Cricetulus griseus: one gene and its partners. The protein of the gene in region 1 interacts with the protein of each later gene in a pairwise test. Links are inferred from orthologs where the notes say so. Each region holds a gene or a part of one and is shown in the gene's direction. Other genes may lie near its edges.

Region 1 (4,032 bases):
CTTGTATTGGTAGGGACACTTGAAATACAGCTAATATTATTTAAAAAATGTATTTAAATGGCCTATCAGGAACCAGTTTTCACATAAGTAGCTTTTGAACACTACAACAGACTAATACCCCTTTGTCAGATGTTGTTGAATTCTAAGACATTCTAAAATGTTCCAGATGAAACAAGTTACTTTAGATTATTGATGAGTTTGTGTGTTCCAGCTATACACTGCTTCGTGTTAAAATTTCGAAAGCCTATGACTTCTAAGAATTCTCACTCTAGAAGGCCCTTTGCTGACTGGAACCAAGTTAAGTTGCAAGAAGGAAAAGGATTTTTTCCCCCTTCTAGTTAAAAAGCTTAAGTATAATTTGGGCTTAGTGGTGAAAGCACAAGTTCTCATGAAAATGCTTGTAAACTAGCCCTGGACATTACCTGTCCTCAAAGCTATCTAACCATCTGGTCTACCTCTCTGCATATTGGTGGGCACGCTTGGCTTACTGATAGCCATTGCCAGTTCTGGCAAACAGAACCCAGTACCTGGGCTGGGAATCCATCCCGGGGCCTGCCAGGCTCTACAACCTCGTGTCCCCCGACTTGGAGCAAGTGTGTTCAATTGAGGAAGATCACTTACGACTGAGTTTTTCATCATGGCTTTGACTGTGAAGCCCTCAGAAACCAGGGAATGAGGCTGGTGCACCGGGAGCGGCTGTTGTGGCAGCAGTTTGGTCCTCTTCGGCATCTTGTCTGGGCATTTATTTAAGGTCAGGGTCTCTTTTTCTGCCACCATCTTCCCAGGATACGTTTTTGTTCTTATCAAAAGTGTGGTAGACAAACCAGTGGGCTTTACAGATGTGAGCAGGAGGTCAGGGAAAAATGTAAAAAAAGCGAGTTACAGGTTTAAATCCAACCCCTCGTGGTGCCCAGAGCGATCCAGATGTTTGGCAGCTCCAAGGTGAAGGGAGTTTAGGGGAGGGGAGGGGCGGGAAGAGGACTGGGACCCGAGGCTTGAGCCGCTACAAGCTTCCAAAGGTGAGCCTCCTGGTTGCTAAGCGACTCGGCAACACTACTACCCGATAGTCCCGCCCCTTCGTGACGCACATTTCCTGGGTTTGAATCCGGAAAGGGCGAACGGCAGAAGCCCGCAGCCGCCTTAGGAGCTCAGGAGCGGCTGTGGGGGCGGGGAGACTCTTACGCGTTAAAACTACGACTCCCAGCAGGCACCGCGCGGGGGGCAGGCACGCACGCGCACTGAGCCTGCCGGGCGCGCGGGGTGGTGAGCCGGGGATGACTGACTAAACCTGGGAGAAACGCTGGTGGGAGGCTCGGGCGGGTGCCGGTGCCCGCGTAGGCCGTGCTCGCCCCGCAGCCACCACCCACCCGGTGACCATGATAGGTACGTGGGTGCCTGCCAGGTACAACCTCTCTGCGCCGCCCCGCGCCCGTGTGTGGCGCCACGTTGTCACACCCCGCGGGTCCCAGTGGGCTCCTCGGGGGCTCGCCCGAGCCACCTGTCAGTGTGAGGGCGAAGGCGTGTGCTCCTCACTCCGTGGGCCCCGGGGGCCTACCAGGGGCCAGGCCGGGCCGGGCCGGGTCGGGTGTGTCTTATAGCATACGTTGTGTGAGCGTCCAGTCCCCACCTCGCCCTTGCCAAGGTTAGCCCGGTGCTCCCTGAAGATGGCATCCCTGCCGACACCCGGGTGCACCACAGCGCCCCCCGGCGGCCGGGCTCGTCCTGCCCGACCGGCAGCAGCCTGGCGCTCTGCCACCCCTGGGTGATAACCATCCCAGCTCTGATTTCTGTTTCCCTTCTGGTCCCTGTCCTTCACTTTAGGACAGGTTTAGACACTGCAGGACTTGAAAAAGCCCCCGGGAAGCACTGGACTGGTGGAGATAATGGGTTTGCAAGAGATTGCACTTTGCTCCTTGAGTTCTGCCTTACTAAATGTCTCCTCGCAGATCTGAGGCGAAAAGAATAGCCGAGAGTAGATAATAGTACAGATGGAGTCTTTCCACCGAGTGCAGCTGCATGAGTGTGGCTTTGGAAGCGGCCGCTAGGGTTGTTATAAGCACCGTGAAGTAGAAGGTCCTTCTCGAAGATGTCAAACTCCCAGTCACTTGGGGTGTTCCCCCAGAATGAGTTGAAATGCACAGCCGTGTTGGGCGATCATTCCTGTTTGAAGGTTTCCTTTCTGTAGACTCCTGCAATTGGTGTCTTAGTGAGCTTGTTTGTGATAGACGCTCCAGAAGTATCACCCTGAGCACATTTGAAGGGGATCTATCCCAGATGCGCCTAGAAGACAGGTGACAGGTGGCTTTATGAAATTAATGCTTTACGTGATGCAAGCCCCTAAGTCTGCTTTTACTTATGAAAGTAAGGTTAAAGTGTGCAGTCTACCCCTCACTGGGGGAATCATGCCAGGTCACCAACATCCTCATTGAGGCAGAGGTACAAGCTGAAGATGCCCAGCTCTCAACTTTGGTAGGGTAGTGCGTATTTCTGGTGAATGAATTGGAAACTTGTGTGTAGAGAAGCTACGTTTTTATGAATCTTACTGAGCCTGTTAAGTGACGTTTACTTAAAATCTGATTGTAAACACAAACCTGAACCGAGTCCGTGAACCAAGTGGGAGAGATTAGGAAAAAAAAAATTATGGGAGATTTTACAAGAAAGAAATAGCTCATATTTTGAAGACAATTGCACACATGTAGTTTCTTCCAACTTAGTTTACGGATGATTTTGAGAAGCAAATGTCCCATAAAGCTATATAAAGACAGAAAGTTAAGAACTAGAAATAATTATTTTTGTAAAGAATCTAATAAATTATTATTATAGTAGTAACTTTTAAAATGGAACACATTTAGACAGTTTTAGTAAGGTTTATCTGGAACTGTCTTAAGAAGTGTGATATCTGGGCGTCACAACTAAATCTATTACTGACAAAAAACAAGGGAAATTCAAGGTGAATTTTAAAGCTGTTCATTTTCTTTCTCTCACTACTGTTGTTGTAGGGTGAATAAGTGTATATTCCAACACAAGTAATTAAACCCCTGTCCCTCCACCCCAAGAAAAGGAACTTACTTATTAATTAAACTGCATAAAGAATGTTAAAATAAATGAATTATTTAGTTCAATTAGTTTTATTGCCTAGTTCCTTCCAGGAGTCATTTTTCGTTGTGACTAATCTTTGAGCCAGGAAACACAGACAGTCTTTATCCAGAGAAGTCTATTGCAGGTCAAAGGACACATAAATGCCTCTAGGAACTGAACAGTGTCTTATCCTGCTCAGCACGACACAGAGCTGATGCCTTTTATACTTATACTCTCCCACCTTGCTGTATATCCTCCTAGTGCAGGCAATAACCCACTCTTACACTGAAGTCCTTGCTTTCCTTTGAGAAAAACATGGATTGATTTCCTGGCCAAATATGAGAAAGGGGAACAAATACTTCATTACCCATAAAATAATTTCCCTTTTATTGTCTCAAAATAGAGGGTTCCCATTTTGTCATGGAGATGGCATTAAAAGTACTTACATTTCCCACTTGGATATTATGATTTTCATGTTAAATGCCTTGACCCAGACAGACTTAAAACATAATTTAATTGAAGTCGATGAAAAAGTCTGCCATTTCGAGGCATGGAGAAGGGATACACAATAATGAAATGCTTCAGAAAATTTAACTGACAAAAATGTAATTTTGAGCACTTCTTTTACATTTTTTAATCTTTAAAAATGAGCACTTCTTTGTGTTTAAAATTGAATTTTGGTGGTGACAATTGTGAATTGCTCTAAATGTCCTATACATTTAGGCATTTGATAATATCAGCTATTAAAGCACATGGGTTCTCATACAATTAAAGTAGGAAGTTCTTAAATTAAAACCCAGTTTTTGAAATAGAAATGTCACTCAGTGATATATCCTAGGGTTCATAAGACTGTGGGTTCCATTCAAAGGTGTTGCACTTTTAATTGATTAAAGTATTATTTTCTGTATCTTGTTAAAATCTTCTAGAGAATTTAACTGCATATAAAGATCACAC
Region 2 (4,173 bases), on another chromosome or scaffold:
TTCTGCCTCTGCTCTGGGGAATCTAAGGCTATGAATGTGTCACTGTTCCCTGGGGTAATTTGAGGCCTGAGCATGCGCACCAGCTGCTACCAATTGTTGCAGATCGCAAGAGTCTCGCCCTTTCTACGTTCTCCGGGGATTCCCGCCCGCACCCAGCATCCTGAGATCCTCCTCTCTCCTGGGTGGTGACCGGTTAGGTCCGGCTGGTTGGAATGTCTAGGGGAATAAAACACGGAGTCCAACCCTGTGCCTCTAGCTGCGCCGGCTCAGCGCCTCCGCCCTTGTTCCCTGGTCGCTCACAGCTTCCGAGTGAAAGCCGCTGCGAACCGCTTGAATGAAACGTGTGTGGGTTTAGTGTGTGGTAAAACCACCAGGGGATCCCGTCTCTCCACAAACCAGAAGCTCTGTTAGAAGGAGGGCGAGAGGGAGGAGGCCTGGAGCAAAGCGCGCGCAGTGGCTGAGCGGCTGGGAGAGGCCGGGCCACCTCCCCTGGCGACCACGCACCGCTCCGCCCGCCTGCAGCGGTTCCAGGCACCACGCTCTCCGCCAGGGCTGTGATGGTGGTGGCAGTGACAAGCTCCTGCACCCCACAGCACCGTGCACAAACCAGCAGCGCCCTCTCCTCCCTCTCTCTCCACCCCACGTCTTCTCCGCCCGTGCACTACGCACAGCCGCCGGCGCCATCCCCTTGTCAACTTTGAGCTGCGGGAGCAACAACTTTGACAGCTGCCGCGGGTTTCGAATCTGCCTCCTCCTTGGCAACAGTAGCCTCGAAAGTGGCCGGAGTTAGACCAGTCAAGAGTTTCCTCTGAGCATCAGTGTTGCCTCTGTTTGCTACAGGTTCCCTGCTAGCCAGCCGGGAGTGGGATTGTGACAGCCAGTCCCCTGGTGGAGGGGACTTGTTTTTCTTTCTCTCTAGAGACCTCGACTAGCGACTGGATAAAGCTGTACCAAAAGGATGTAAATAGCAGAGCAACTGTTACCAAGAAGGCAGCCACCACCCAAAGGCAGGGAGGAACGTGGGGCTTCCTCCAGGCTGCGCCCAGTCGCAACATTAGGCAACTATCAGGTGGTATTTGCAACTTTTCAAGGTCAGCCTGGTGGATCATCTGTTTTCCCTGGGAACCTTCGGGTGCGCAGAGCTTGGATTAGATTTGGTTGAGAAATGCACAGGACGCCAAACGCGGCAGGATTGTAGGGGGTGTGTTGCCCCCCCCTCCAGTTCTGTTCCCTGCTCTCCCAGTCATCTTCAGCTCCTCTCCACTGGCCAGTGGTGAGTATGTGACATGTGTCTAACTCCCTGCACCAAGTTTGGCAGCAGGTGTTGGTGTTAAGCCAGTGCGGGGCTACTAGGAGCGCCCTTGCCGAGCCATGCCGGCCCGGGGCGCGCCTCTCTCGCGTACATCGCGACTGCTGCTCCTCCTGCTGCTGAAGGTTTCTGTCTCTGCTGTCCTGAGCTTTGTCCCTGTGGCCAGGAATGGAACTTGTCTGGGGGAGAGCTGTTCCCCACTGCTTCAGGGCGGCAGCAGGGATGCCCGGGGACTAGGGAATTCTGCAAGAGGGGTTCTGCGAGTCCGTATGCCTAGGGAGAAACTGGAAGCAGAGGTGAGAGGGGCGACCTCTTGGGACCTCCCACCGGCCAGGGTCGGCCAGACAGGTGCAGCAGGTGCAGCAGCTGCTGGGCCCTTGGGTCCCCCAACCAAGCCACCTGATGCCTGGAGGTGGAAAAGTGCCCAGGGTAAAGAGCCACTAGGAAATTTGGGGAGAAGGGAACCTACGGACCTCCACCTCTTCCTTCAGACTTCAGAGGGGGAAGACATGAGTCCCAGGGGCGCTGACATTCCACGGAGCAGCCAGGAGCAGAGTGTGAAAACGGACCCTGAACCCAGAGATCTTTTTTACTGGCCACGGAGAACTGGACAACCCCAAGGCTCCCACCAAAAGCCTCCACCGGGGCATGAAGGGAGGACCATTGCTCCCCCAGGCAGGGCACTACCGCAAAACGGGTCTGTTGATGACTGGGTCCCTGACCAAGGGGGTCCGCGCCGTGGAAACAGCACCAGCAGGCGCGTGAGACTGAAGAACCCCTTCTACCCCCTGACCCAGGAGTCCTATGGAGCCTACGCCGTCATGTGCTTATCTGTGGTGATCTTTGGGACTGGAATCATTGGTAACTTAGCAGTAATGTGCATCGTGTGTCACAATTACTACATGAGGAGCATCTCCAATTCTCTCTTGGCGAACCTGGCCTTCTGGGACTTTCTCATCATCTTCTTTTGCCTACCCCTGGTCATCTTCCATGAGTTGACCAAGAAGTGGCTTTTGGAAGATTTCTCCTGCAAGATCGTGCCCTATATCGAGGTAAATGCCTTCTAGCTGCTGCCTTTATCTGTTTCCGGAATGATAGCAAAAGAACAGCGGTTGGATGTACCTACCTGGTGGGACCCCTTGCTTCTTTCTCTGAATGTCTTCTCTTTTCCTCTGTCACTTATGCATGCATGCCTGTATTTGAAAGAAAGCAGCTTTGTTAAATCACCTTCACACTGCTCTGCTCCTAGCCTGCGAAAAGAGATGGTCCTATAACACTACAACCGTCCTCTGGATGTGGCGGTATTTCTGACTTGGCACTCATCTGAGAGCCCAGGATTAAATAATGGCCCATCCTTGTGGTTGTCCTTACTGGAGCCTAGTAAAAGAGGGGAGGGAGCCATTAGCATTTATTTCCCAAAGTTGTAGTGTTTCATTATGACTCCTTCAGCTTCCCATCCCCCAGGGAGACTACTGAGCATTTTCTAAACTACCAAAGCTGGAGTTATAGTTTATGCATAAAAGAAAATCAATCTTTGCTTTTCATTTGACCTCGTGATGTATTAGGAACCTCCCAAACTAGTTTAAGTTAGCTATTGTCTACCCTACTATTTCATCTAAGGTCTTAGGTCTTCCTTGTTTCCGCTGTGGATAATTCTCAACTTTTAAAATCAGTTCATTCTTTTAAATGAACTTAAAAATAAGACGTCAGCCCCATCCCTGGTAATCTAGCATTTACAGAGTATATGATACAAACTTGCTACTACTATGCCTGTGAAGAATCGGCTATTTTAAAGGGATTTACTCTTAAGATTAAAAACATTTCTGAAGAAAACAGCTTCCAAATTTTGGAAATGCAAATTGTTTGTGTAAGGAAAGGGTTTACTGCTTCGTGCTAAAGCCACTGTACCAGTCATTGCTCTGGGAGGTGGAATTTGCTCTGTAAATTGGCCTCTCTTTAAACACTAGCTCTTGGAACCTGCCCAAGTATTTGGCTGCCAGTTGTGGTTTTTAGCCAGCTGGGCCTTGATTTTCTCCATTCAGTCTGTCCATTTCATTTATGGAAACACAAGAAGGGAAACTGTAAATATCCCAGTGCCTCTGATCTGTCTGGCACCAGGGCCAGTTGACACTATGTTCAACATTGTCTCAGGGTAAAAACTCCAGGATAAGTAAACAGAAAACAGTGCCTACTTAGGAGGTCCAGAGCCAGAGCCCGTCAATAAGACCCTCTGTTATTCTGTCTGCACTCAGATGTAGGGCCATCCATGGCTCAGATAAATCAGCTGTTGCTACTTACCAGGATCCAAGGCCTCCCTGTTGCCAAGCATGGAGCAACTCTGAAACACTGTCATTTATTGGAGAGACAGTTCACTTTTTAATTTGAGAGTGCATAGGTGAATTACATAAAAGAGTATGTGTCAATTTAAAATTGTCTTTTTTAAAGACAATTTCAGCTTAGCTTCTTGTTTTTAACATAGGTTTTTGTTTTAGTTTAAGTGCTTGTTTAGCTCTGGTTCTTGTTTTTAACAATGCAAAAGACTTTAGGCAAGAAGGAGAGTTAAAAAAAAAATAAAGTGTAAATTTCAACAGGCGAGGCAGTCTGCAAGCAGGAACTGTGTTGACTTGCCACAGTGTCAACTGAAGTGTTGGGGTAGGGGTTGCTAACGTATACATTAGGTATAAAAGCAATAAAGAAGGCAGAACAAAAAACAAGGGAAAGAATGAAATCAGCAAAGCTACAGAAGGAAAACCCCAAGCGAAGAGAATTGTATCAAACAGAAGAAAGAATATAAAAAACTTAGGTTAGTTTTTTTTTAATTTTTTTATTAGTTCAAGTTAGGAAACAAACTTGTTTCACATATA
Region 3 (4,031 bases), on another chromosome or scaffold:
AATTCAAAAGTAAATCTTACAATATCACATATCACTTTTGTAATCTCTGGCTCTCCATCCGCAAAGGCTAGGATATGAACTCGGTTGAGAAAAGGGAACCCTTAACTGGTGTCTCCAGCCCCAGCACCATGTGGGTATGTCGGCACTCACTGACTGTTGCCTGAGAGGTGAATGGATGAACGTGGGCTTGAACAATGCTGCGCTGCGTTTGGACCAAGCACTTAGCGTTTACATAGGTACTGGAGGAGTGGCTTCTAACTTGCTTTCTATCTCAGGAAGATTTTGAACTTGTGGCCCTGCTGCCTCCACTTACAGGTATTTATACAGCATGCCATTCTATGCATTGGGAACCGAAGCCTTATGCATGGAAGGTAAGCACTCTACCATCTGAGTACATCCCCAGCCTCTGGTTGCATCCTTCCCACAAAAACACTTTGACAAGGAGTTCCAAGAACAGAATAATTCACTGCCAACCTTTCAAGTCTGAAAGAGCACTCAACAGTACTAGAGGAAACTTACTAGTGGCAGGCTTTGTTCCCTCCGACTCCAAGTTTCATCTATGAAGATAACCTTAAGCCTCTGCAATGCACCTTCTCTAGGGCATTAAAGGAGGCCCTCACCATAACAACCCAGGTTCTTCTCTTGGTAAAGTTCAATGACCCAGAGAAGATTCGTTGATCCTGTCAGGGAGGGTGGTAAGTGACCAAGAAGGGGAATGGGAATCACCTAGGCGATTCCTTTATTTCACAGATGACTTCGTGAGATTCAGGGAGGGTGGAAGCAGAAAGAGTGCGGGGTAAGGGAGCAGCCAGCAGCTGTTTTGTCAGAACTGCACGGGGATCGCTCCAAAGGCTTCACAAAACAGTGGCTCCAAGAGTCTGCTCCTTAGAGACCAGGAGGTAGATCAGCAAAGTGGATGAACGCCAATCCGCCCGCCGTACTGCACCCCGGGGGGTGGGGGTGGGGGTGGGGCCCTCGGCGTCCGGGAAAACATTTCAGAGGGAGTCCTAGCTGCGCTCTCCTCACCGCTCAACACTGGCCCAAGCCCGCCCCCCCACACACACTCACACCCCGGCTACGCAATCCCCTTCACGCACCGCGCACCCAGCCTCGGAGCAGACGCCCCTCATCCTGGGCAGCCTCCGCCCCGGAGTCCCTCGTCTAACGTGCCTCTTCCCGCCCCACCGCACACTACCAAGTACCCTCGGACGCCGGCCTGATCCCGCGGAAACCCCGCTTCTGCACCAGCGGAAGTAAGGCAACGGCACTGCCTGACGTGCGCGACCCCGAGGCGCGTAGGCTGGACGTCAAGGAGCATGCGCACAACGATAGGAGCCATCTTCTTTTAGGGCCGCCTGAAGCCACAGCGCTAATACGTCAGTTAAGGGAAAGAGTAGCAGTATATGACAGCTAGGTGGCCGGTAAGTAGGCAGGCAAGCACGGAGGCACTCAGGCAGGCAGGCACTCAGGCAGGCAGGCAATTAAAGCTGTAACTTGCTAAAGTGCTTACCTTGAATGCTGCAAACTCTTGAGCTTGAATCCCAAAGCTAAACAAACCCAGTTTGCTGGTGCTCGCGTATAATGGCAGCACTTCGGGCGTGGGGACACAATGATCAAGAGTTCGAAGCTATTCTCAACACAACTCCCGCTGTCCTGTCTATAAATAAATACATTAAAGGCATTTCCCTGCCAGATGTGGTGGCCCACGCCTTTAATCCCAGCATTCGAGGGGAAGATGCAGGCACATCTCAAGAGTTCGAGGTCAGCCTGGTTTACAGGGCAAATTTGAGGACAACCAGGGATACACAGATAAACCCTGTCTCAAAAACGAAGGGAAGGAGGGAGGAAGGAAGAGAAGGAAGGAGGAAGAGAGGGAGGGAAAAAGGAGGGAGGAAAAAAGAAAGATACTTCCTAGGTTTCTCTAACTTTAAACATACAACTCAAAACAGGGGGTTGGGAATCTATAGTTTAAGTTGACAACTAATCACCCTACCCGCAAAATACCTGGAACATAGGAAAAAGAGAATTCCTAAAATTCAGAAAGATGCTCTAGATACAAAAAACAAAGGCAGTCTTGAACTCAAGGTATGGCAGTTATCATATCTACATAATATTTTTCATTGTGCAAAATGTTCTCCCATTGTCTCTAGGCGATTTTGTCTCCACGAAAACTCCTGGAGTCCAATGGATATTTTATCACTTTTTTCAGTTGGCAGATTCTGGCCATGCTGGGTAGATGATCACAAAAGTACCCAGTTATCAATAGGATTCGGTATCTAAAATTCCAATCTCACTTTCTCATGCATTGACCCAGTACACAGTCAAGTCCCTCGTGTTTGCAAGAGTTTTATGTTTTTTTTTTGTTTTGCTTTGTTTTATTTTATTGGGATTTTTTTTGTATGTTTGTTTGTTATTTTGGTTTGTTTTTGGTTTGTCGTTGTTGTGGTTGTCTTGCTGGGTTGAAAGCACACCGCCCAGTGGATGTTAGGTCCTTTGTTATTGTTGTGCTACTTTGAGACAGGGTACTGGCCTGAAACTCAGTTTCGTCTCGCTTCTGCCCAAGTTTGATCTTTAATCGGTTTCTAAAGTTTAGTTTACATAATTGCCTTTATTGTTTCAGGAATGCACATAGCAATAGCAATCATTAGTGAAACAATAGAATTTTGTTTTTCACAGCTTCTGGAACCCAGCATGTCCGGCTTCCATCCGTATAAACCCAGGCAACTGGAGTCACAGCTGCAGAAAACGCTAAAGCGATTGTCTTCCTGCCCTTCTGTATTTGGAGACCTAGCCAAGGCCGTCCTTGACTCTCCTGCCTCACCCACTCGAGTGCTACAGTCACTGGAATATGCGACTAAAGAAGCACAACACCTACACTTCTTATTGGGCTTTGAAATTGTAGCCCCAACGCCCACAGCCTGGGGGTGGGCGGAGCCTTGTCCTCGGGAAAACTCGGCGGTGGGAGGGGTCTCCTCTCGAAGAGCTTCCGGAACCTTTCGGGCAGAGGCGGAGTCTTCTGCCGAGGGCCCTTCGGAAAGAGGCGGAGCTTATCTCGCATCAGGACCAGTCCGACTGCACCTGCATCCTTAGCTCAGAGCATCCCAGGAGCATCTAAGAGGAAAGCGCAGCTAGCAACCAGGGATCCGACTGTCGCAGGGGCAGTCTGCCAGGCACCTTCCCCTCCCCTGATCCGGAGGTCTACAGCCGCGGCCTCGGTACTCACCGAGATTCCCAAAGTTGTCTGACCTCTGCAAAAGTGTTGCTACCAACAGCCTCTGATTACAACATGGCTGAGATCACAAATATACGCCCCAGCTTTGGTAAGTAGAGTCTGACAAACTAATTTTGAGGCTATCAGTGCCGGCGCAAAGCCAGGTAGCTGAGGAATTGGCGGGGAGTGAAGTCCAGATGGGAGCCTCTAGTTGCCAGCCCTGCTAGAATAGGGTCTGAGGTGGTGAGTGACTCCAAGGCAGGCAGTGGACAGCGCCTGGGTTTCAGCTTTGGGCTGCAGAGGTGGCAAGGCCGGAGTGCCACGGAGGGTAGGCAATCCGGGATGCTAAAACCTTGACCGTAAACCCTTGGTGCACTGTCAGCACGGCTGGAGGTGAGAAACGGCAAGCATGCGGAGGATGTGAACCCACCTTCTGGAGGAAGAGAGGTGGGGTAGTTCGAGCCCTCCCCCTTGGGGCATGCAGGGCGGTGCCCCTTTCCTCCCCCTCCTACTTCTGAGGGCTGCAGGAGAGGGAAGCGGCAAGGGGGATGGGGCCTCAAGATGGCAGCGTGGAGACTATGGGCTGTGTGGCTGGCAGCCAAGGGAGGCGGAGGCCTCCAGGGAAAGAAGGGTGCGGGGGTGGGGAGCAAAAGGGAAGCCACTCCTTAGGCCGGTCAGTGGGTTGCTAGGGCTGGGGTAAAATGCTAGCCCTGCAAGCTTCGTTCTGCACCGTAATGGTGAGGTCCTTGCCGGTGTTACCAAATGGCGCTTGGCGCTGCCGGGCGGAGAGATGACGTGATGTCTATTTCTGAGACTCCTG
Region 4 (3,994 bases), on another chromosome or scaffold:
CCTCGTTCCAGTTTGAGGAATGTGCCTCTATTTTTCTTTTAGTAAGGTCTAGTGTGAAGCAGAATGACCATAACTTCGTTGTTAATCTATCTGCCCTGACTTCATGGGAAAACCACTTAGGTATTCCGCCGCATCACTCCCGTAACATAGGAAGCTGAATCAGTTTGTAGTTGAAGTCATGTATTTGTTCTTACAGATCAGGGCATTTTAAAACCTGCGGGAGTAGAGATGGGTTTCTGAAGAACTGACAAATGAAGCTTGTCCAAGCAAACTTTACACCTCCCGACTCTCACATCCAGCTCTAGCCTCACACCCCCACCCCTTAATTTAAGCAGGTGAATATCTGGCAAATTCTAAGCCTGCCCAACTAAGAATGACTCATTAGGAAATCCTGATTCCTTACACTCGGAAACTACAAACGATCCGAGTGTATCAGAACCGCAAGATCTCGGGTTTCCCTTTGTGTTTCTCTCTATCACTCAGATCTGTGCCGTGCCCGCCTAGAGACGCCCTTCAGATCTCCTGGGGAATGACCCTGCAACGTCACAGCCTTCTGCAGCCAGGCGTTTAAAGATCAAAAATGCAGAATCATTTAAAACACCGGGTTTTAATAGGCACTTTCTCCTTCTTCCTCCCTGACCAGCGTGCGTTCCCATAAGGAATTCCAAGATGCCTGAGCGAACAGAGAATCACAGTACTTAGCTCAGAAGCCCTTGTTTCGGGTTTCTCTAGTTGTTTAAGTCCTTCCCCGAAATAGGTGGAGTGTGGGTGGGGCGGTAGGGCTCTCCCCCTGCCCGCTGCAGTGTATAGGTGTCCCGGTGCATCTAAAAGATCGTGAACAAAGCATGAGTTGCAAAGGCGGGGCTCGAAAAAAGATAAAAGGAAAGGAAAAGGTACGGCCTTAAGGAAAAGTCACGAACTCGGGAACCCTGCACGGCTGGGGCCACCCGAACAAGCGAGCAGGGATCCCGCGCTGTCCCCGCCCTCCGCCTCCCCGCCTGTGTGCGCACGAGGCTGCGGCACCTACGTCAGCAGCGCCCTGGCTTCCAGACCCTTCGGCTGCCGCCGTGACTGCCGCAGGCCCGTGCGACCCCTCCCTCGCGCCGTCTGCAGCGGGCCAATCCGCACCCTCGAAAGGCGGAGCCGACGCCTCCGGGCCCCGCCCCTGTTCCGCAGCCGGCCTTAAAAGACCGCGGCGCGCGCCCGGCTGCAAACAGCTGCGGTGGCCGCCGGAGTCTTAGTATGCAAAGTGCCATGTTCCTGGCTGTCCAGCACGACTGCGTACCCATGGACAAGAGCGCAGGCAACGGCCCCAAGGTCGAGGAGAAGCGGGAGAAAATGAAGCGGACGCTGTGAGTATGCCCTCTCTTCCTGAGAGCTCTTACCCCGCATGGCTTTGCTGCTCGGGACCGACCTTCCTTCCATCTCGGCTTTGACTTGAGCTAACTCCGGTCTGCACCTCTGCAGAGAAAGCGGGGGGGCGGGGGGAAGAAAGAAGGAAAAGTCAGCTTGCTAGATCTCGTGGTTGTGCTTTTTTCTGTGTGAGCGTAGAGTTTCAACTATGGGAAGTTGTTAGGAAGGTGGCGGCGGTAGCTGGGCTGAGAAGGCGATGGCTGGCTTTTTGTTCTGCATGTAAGGTGACATGAGTATTCTGCAGCTGAATAGGATCCGCAGCGCCCATACATTGCATTGTGAGGTCTGAGCTGCTTACACAGCTGCTGGGTAATGTTTGGGATGATTCCGAATGTATTCGCTTTAGATACGGTTTTAAATCATAAAATAGGTCTCATCCAGTCACGACTGTGGAATGAGTAATTTGCTCTGCAGTATCTGCTGCGGAGAAGCACTGTGGGAGGTCGCGGAGGGGGAGCTCGGGACACACACACACACACACACACACACACACACACACACACACACACTCACACACCACACACCACACACACACACACACCCCACACACACACACCACACACACACACCCCTCTATGCACCGCCTGTATCTTGGACCAGACCCTCCTGCCTCTAGCACAGAAAGGGAAGGAACATCAGCTGGCTCAACACACGGCAGTTCTCAATCATTAATTGTCTCCAAGTTGTAGTTAACCATGCAGAAAAACCGCTACCTTTTTCGTAGGTCAGAAATAACTTGTGAAAATTTTAAATATCCTAGCTGTGTTATGTAGTCCTATGCTGGGTTCAATCCATGAGGTGCTGGGTTTAAATATCCCACATATGGCATGGACTGTTCTTGCCTGTCTGGTTTGTTTGGTGACTGACCATATGCTACTGCAACTGGTGATAATTTCACTATTCAAGAATTGCAGCTTGAAGTATTTTTTTCCTCTCCTTTTTTCTTTTCTAGCTTGAAGGATTGGAAGACCCGTTTGAGCTACTTCTTGCAAAATTCCTCCACTCCTGGGAAACCCAAAACTGGCAAGAAAAGCAAACAGCAAACTTTTATCAAGTAAGTTGCAACTCCTGTACTTGCAGAACAGAATGTCTAGCCATTGAACAGGAGAGGGGAACTATTATGTGTGGTTTATATAGCTCATGTTCGGAACTTCTCTTGCAGGCCTTCTCCTGAGGAAGCGCTGCTCTGGGCAGAAGCATTCGATGAACTGCTGGCCAGTAAATGTAAGTTAACCTCTTGAATTTGATCTTTCACCAGCATCCCAAGAGCCTAGAAATGTTGTGTCTACACCACAAATGAGCAGCTAGCAGGAAGTGCATCAGACATTAGCACCATTTACTTCATAAAGCCTGCTTTTCTTTCCCCTCGTCCTCCAGTTTAATCATGGAAAAGCATGAGGTATTCACTTCAGGAATAAAGTTAGCCTAACTTGTGAAAGTTAGGAAGAAAAATTAGCCTAAAAATTAAAACGACTTACTCATAGTTAGGGTTGAGTCAGCTTTTCCATTGCATAGAATATTTTCAAAAGCCCTAGTTCCCAGAGAACTAATGGATGACTGTCCTCTAAATATTTATTTTGCATTGACGGTGAAGTTCAGTATATTTTGTTGTCGTCGTTGCAGAATGCAAAGTTAAGCATTTTGCCTGCTGGCATCTTAGTGCTTAAAGAGCTAAAGTGTGAGAATGACAGGTTTGAGTGAAATCTAGAAAGCTGATCGATCATTCTAGTACTAAAAGAACCATGTGTTATCTGGTCACTCAATTTACATTCTACATGCTTGTTTTCCTGTGCTTTCAGATGGGCTTGCTGCATTCAGGGCGTTTTTAAAATCTGAGTTCTGTGAAGAAAATATTGAATTCTGGTTGGCTTGTGAAGACTTCAAAAAAACCAAGTCACCCCAAAAACTGTCCTCCAAAGCAAGAAAAATATATACTGACTTCATAGAAAAGGAAGCTCCCAAAGAGGTAAGAAAACAAGTTATTGGTGTCAGCATAATTTGGACATCTTCAACCCCATAGTGAAGCACAAGAATTGGATACACCAGTTAAAGTGCCAGTGGGAAGAGCTGGGGCTCCCCACCCCAGCTATCCTAGCATTTCAGTTTTTCCAATCTGACAGTGAGAACTGATCACATATTACATCTTTTGTGTTTTGTTATTAAGCATTGATTTATAATGTTGGATACCAAATAAATCAAGCTTTGTTTTATTTTTGGTTTCAGATAAACATAGACTTTCAAACAAAAACGCTGATTGCCCAAAATATCCAAGAGGCTACAAGTGGCTGTTTTACAACAGCCCAGAAGAGGGTATACAGCTTGATGGAGAACAATTCTTACCCTCGCTTCTTGGAGTCAGAATTCTACCAGGACTTGTGTAAAAAGCCACAGATCACCACGGAGCCCCATGCTACATGAGGCCAGGAGCCCCCAACAGAGGACATTTCATTGTCTCCCAAGACGAAAAGGCTGTGACCTGCCAAAAGACTGACCTTGAATTCAGCCTGGGTGTTAGGAAACATCACTCAGAACTATTGATTCAAAGTTGGGTAGTGGATCAGAAAGCCAGCAACCTAGGACA
Region 5 (4,110 bases), on another chromosome or scaffold:
GCAAGAGGAAATGCATGGCCCTGAAGTTTCAAACGGGGCCATCCTATTTTAATTAGTTCTTGTTGGCCCTTCTCCTTTGCACCTCGTGCAGTGCTGTTATGTTGAGCATCCCGTGGTACTTAAAAGCCAAATGACCATTTGTAATTTTTTGGACACAAGGGTGTTCAAAGCTGAAATGAAGAGCCACACATAGGGTGCAACATTTATTTATTCACGCTTGTCTTTTCTTCTTGAAAACAATGTGAATTCCAAACACCTCGCAATGTAATTTTCATCTTTTGAGACCTGATCCAGCGTTCATGAAGGACAAAATAATGATGTGACAAAGTTATTACAGATTAAAGAGTTGAGTTAAAACATACTCTTGGAACGAGGGAGGGAGGTTTAAGAAAGAAAGCCGTTTCAAATAAGTGACCAACTAGAGTTCCGTGACAGGCACAAGTGCTCCAGCGAAGAGTCTATGGGCTGGGATGATGGCAGGTGGAATTCCGCCCAAGATACAGACGTAAAGATGACTGGCTCCAGGGCCCTCGAAGAAAGCCTCTACTCGGAGAGCCTCCGAACAGACACATCGCCTTTCTAACAACTGCACCTGGAGCACAAAGGCACCCTCCCGTCACTTTGATTAGTCAACCTAACTTCCTCAGTTTCCGCCTAGTCTTCGCTATTACCCCAGGAACTAGAAACTCGTCCAAACTCCACTCTGGACGCTGCAGAGAGATGAAGCTCGATTACACATTCAGCACAGCGTCCTCAGCTCTTCCTCTCACGGGTTTTAGTCTTTAACAGGCACCAACGCAGACACAACCTCAAAACCTACCTACCCATCAGCTGGGCGGCCGGCCCCACCGCCGGCCAGTTACCTGCAGGGCTCGGCACTCCCGCCCACTCTCAAGGCCCCCGGGAGCTGTCCCTCTGCTGATCCCGGCGCACCCCAAAAACCCCGCGGTGCACAGCCCGCCTCCTCGCTCCACCGGCGACAGCGCCGCCGGTCCTTCCACCCTGCGGGAAGGGGAGGAGGAGAGGTCGGCTGTCACGCAAGCCCTCGCAAGCAGGCGCCGGGCACAAGGAAAAAGGCTGCCCAGAACGGCCGGCTCGCACCCGGCCTTCCGACCCCGGAAGTGATTCCTCCCCTACACACGCGATAGGGGCGGGCGCAGCCGCGGGGCTAGCCCGGCATGCCCTGGGCTTCCGGTGACCTCTGGCCCTTTTCTGTCGTCCGCTCCCGCTGCCTGGCGTGCTCGCTCGCGCGTTTCTTTCCTCCACGCTCCGGGCTCCCTCCCGCCCGGTGACCGTGGCGCCGCGACCGGCCGCGCGCGACGGCGGCGCGGCGGACAGTCGTCATGGCCGCCTCTAAGCCATGGAGGCGCGATGGCGGCGGCGCGGCGGCTGCGCCCAGTTCTGGAAATGGAGTGGGCGGTGGCGGCGGGACTGCGGGCCCCGGCTCGGGCGCGGGGACCCTGGCGCGATGGCACGTGGCTCTGGCCATCGGGGCGCCCCTGTTGCTGGGTGCCGGGGCCATGTACCTGTGGAGCCGAAGGCGGAGGCGCCGGGAGGCGGGAGGCCGGGGCGACGCCAGCGGCCTGAAGCGCAACAGCGAACGGAAGACCCCGGAGGGCAGGGCCAGCCCGGCCCTGGGCAGCGGCCACCCCGACGGTTCTGGTGACTCCCTGGAAATGGTGAGAAGCCGCCCAGGCCACAGAGGGGGGACGAGCGGATGCAGCTTTCCCTTCACCCGTTGTGCGGCCGAGGGGCCCTCCCACCGGTCGGAAACTGCCGAGTGGCCGCAGAGGACTTTGGAGTCGTTTCTGGTTGCCTTTGGAGGGAGGGAGTGGGAGTAGCAGCTCCTGGCAGGCTAGCGTAGAGATTTCTCTTTACCCATCTCCTCTGGGATCCAACAGACAACCTTTTGCTTTTCTTCTCAGTGACACAGCATTTATCCCTCGTGGTGTAGGTACGGAGGACACGACGAACAGATAGAATAATCCTGTTAAGCCAAGAAAGGCAAATTTCACGAACGATTCGGACTTGCGACGTGCGTTGTTCCTGTGATTTCCCAAGGCAGGCACTTCCCTAAGAACCGTTTAATAACTAACGAGCCATTCCTCTTTTGCAAGGGGGTAGGTGAGCCACTACAGGACAAAATTGGGAAAACTCATTAGGTAGCTTTATATATAGGAAATAAGCCAGCTTCTAAGGAACAAAGTAGTGGTGGCTCCCCTACACCCGCACACTTTGTCTGGAAGCATCTTAAGATTTTCTGTTTCACTTGGACGCTTGTATACGTGTGTCCAAGGCTGATATGTTTGATAGTCTCTGATGTCAGAACGGGCATTGGCGTGATGGATTGCTCTGTCTGATCTGGTGATCTGACTACTAAATCTTTTTTGACAAATCTGACAGCTGTGTGGAGAATTGGCATGGCCTGAGATTGAGTGAGCTAAGGGACATTTGTCCGGGTCTGTAGTTTTATGGTGGTATTAGCAGAGAGAGACTTACCGGTAAATAATTCCAGGTACATACACAAGTAAATTCTTTATACTCGTGCAACCCATGTACACTTACGTTCATGAGAAAAAAAAAATGAATGGCAGTCGTTTTCATTCCATCCGGACTGAAGACCCATTTTATTTATTTATTTATTCATTTATTTTTTTACCGAGTAGCCTCACAGGTTCTGATTTATGGCTATAGGAATAGTACTTACCATGTGTGAGTCACTGTACTAGCCCAAAAGAAAGCCATTTGTTCTCTCCTATGGGGAAATTAGATAGCTTGTTTCTAACTAGGAATTCCTATATTGGAGGGAACTGTGATTTTTAAGAACTGAGGAGATGTCATTGTAAATTGGCCTGTGGAGCATTGTTATCGGTGAGTCCACTTTATCTTACTGTCATCCTAGTAGGCTAAGAGGATTAAAATAATAAGTCCCTTCTATTTTATCCAGCAATAAAAATGTTTAGGATGAAAGCCTGGGCGCTGGCAGCGGGAGCAAACTATGCTGGACTACCCAACCCCAAGAAGCCGGCTTCAGAGATTGATTTAGTGTGGCCACACTGGAAAGAGGGACAAATAAAAGGTTCCTGTAACCCCTGAGTTTGTCTTTGGGCTGTACACATGAACTTAAGGTTTAAGTAGAGGAAGAACCAGGCAGGTGGTGTACATAATTAGCCAGCCCTGGTTAAGAAGTAATGTGGTTGACCTGTGTCTCCAATCTGATTCAGTTAGAGAGGTGATGGGAGGGCTGGGGTGAAGGGTTCTTAAAGGGATTAATCTGGTTCGGACAAGGGTAATTACCTTCATCTGAAGGGTGCTCTGCCCTCTGAAGTTTTATTCTTACTGGACTCCAAGGTGACTCAAGGAAAAAGGTTAAGGACAATGCTCTGTGTTTAGTTGAACTGAATGTGACAGACAAAATGAGTGCAGAGATGTTAGGCTTTTATCATATTTTCAGTCACCTTTTTGGCCAAAGTGAAGTTTTAAGTGTATTTTTAGCAAAAGCAACTTCTAAGTGCTTGTTTCTGGTTAGATTGTGAGTACCAGTGAAAGTGGTTGTCAAGGAGATTCTTTGACTTGGTTATCCATTGTCGTTTTTGACTTGGTTATCCATCTGTATATATGAAATTTTGTACATGTGAAAATTTCATATATAAAATTTCTATGTAATTTTAATCTGGATTAGTAGGTAAATGAAAGTTACATAAAAGTTGTTGGTTCTGTAGTAAGCATAAATGAAACTAAGTTAAAAATAAGGGAGCTGGCCTGAAGTGGCTTAACAGTGAATAGTGCTAGTACTCTAGCAGCGTACAGGAGTTTGATTCCCAGCACCCGGGCCTAACAGCTCATGCTGTAATACCAGCTCCAGGGGGTTCAGTTCCTCCAGTCTACACGGGCACCTGCACTTGGGTGCACGTAAGTGAGCACACACGTACACAATTAACATGAAATAAGAGTAGTTTTACATATGAAACTGTTTTAGCATCACACTGTAGTTTTAGCCACATCCTCTATTCCAGGCATGCTTTTACTATTGGTTTTGAAAGAATTAGTAAATTCTCTTTCAGAATTTAGATTTCTTTAAATTCTCTTTTTAATTTTGCAGCATTGTCT

The links.
Region 2: the proteins of Prkn (region 1) and Gpr37 interact in a two-hybrid assay, tested with the Homo sapiens proteins (2 studies listed by BioGRID). The link is inferred for Cricetulus griseus from reciprocal best matches to the Homo sapiens genes PRKN and GPR37.
Region 3: the proteins of Prkn (region 1) and Syt11 interact in binary tests that used the Homo sapiens proteins (3 or more experiments, as listed by UniProt). The link is inferred for Cricetulus griseus from reciprocal best matches to the Homo sapiens genes PRKN and SYT11.
Region 4: the proteins of Prkn (region 1) and Rgs2 interact in binary tests that used the Homo sapiens proteins (3 or more experiments, as listed by UniProt). The link is inferred for Cricetulus griseus from reciprocal best matches to the Homo sapiens genes PRKN and RGS2.
Region 5: the proteins of Prkn (region 1) and Tomm70 come close enough for resonance energy transfer, tested with the Homo sapiens proteins (3 studies listed by BioGRID). The link is inferred for Cricetulus griseus from reciprocal best matches to the Homo sapiens genes PRKN and TOMM70.

The regions. Positions count from the first base shown.
Region 1 is NC_048595.1:289,993,640-289,997,671, reverse strand, and holds the start of Prkn (E3 ubiquitin-protein ligase parkin), read left to right. Parts: upstream 1-1,228; 5' UTR 1,229-1,376; coding exon 1,377-1,383; intron 1,384-4,032. Other genes in the region: Pacrg (parkin coregulated gene protein), read right to left, coding at 622-777. UniProt on the Homo sapiens protein: Functions within a multiprotein E3 ubiquitin ligase complex, catalyzing the covalent attachment of ubiquitin moieties onto substrate proteins. Substrates include SYT11 and VDAC1.
Region 2 is NW_023276806.1:201,855,018-201,859,190, forward strand, and holds the start of Gpr37 (prosaposin receptor GPR37), read left to right. Parts: upstream 1-1,371; coding exon 1,372-2,361; intron 2,362-4,173.
Region 3 is NW_023276806.1:65,759,175-65,763,205, forward strand, and holds the start of Syt11 (synaptotagmin-11), read left to right. Parts: upstream 1-1,223; 5' UTR 1,224-1,421; intron 1,422-2,676; 5' UTR 2,677-3,286; coding exon 3,287-3,320; intron 3,321-4,031. UniProt on the Homo sapiens protein: Synaptotagmin family member involved in vesicular and membrane trafficking which does not bind Ca(2+). Inhibits clathrin-mediated and bulk endocytosis, functions to ensure precision in vesicle retrieval.
Region 4 is NC_048598.1:46,447,520-46,451,513, forward strand, and holds the start of Rgs2 (regulator of G-protein signaling 2), read left to right. Parts: upstream 1-1,193; 5' UTR 1,194-1,242; coding exon 1,243-1,352; intron 1,353-2,365; coding exon 2,366-2,467; intron 2,468-2,575; coding exon 2,576-2,637; intron 2,638-3,212; coding exon 3,213-3,379; intron 3,380-3,636; coding exon 3,637-3,831; 3' UTR 3,832-3,994. UniProt on the Homo sapiens protein: Regulates G protein-coupled receptor signaling cascades. Inhibits signal transduction by increasing the GTPase activity of G protein alpha subunits, thereby driving them into their inactive GDP-bound form.
Region 5 is NC_048597.1:35,067,652-35,071,761, reverse strand, and holds the start of Tomm70 (mitochondrial import receptor subunit TOM70), read left to right. Parts: upstream 1-1,306; 5' UTR 1,307-1,343; coding exon 1,344-1,679; intron 1,680-4,110. UniProt on the Homo sapiens protein: Acts as a receptor of the preprotein translocase complex of the outer mitochondrial membrane (TOM complex). Recognizes and mediates the translocation of mitochondrial preproteins from the cytosol into the mitochondria in a chaperone dependent manner.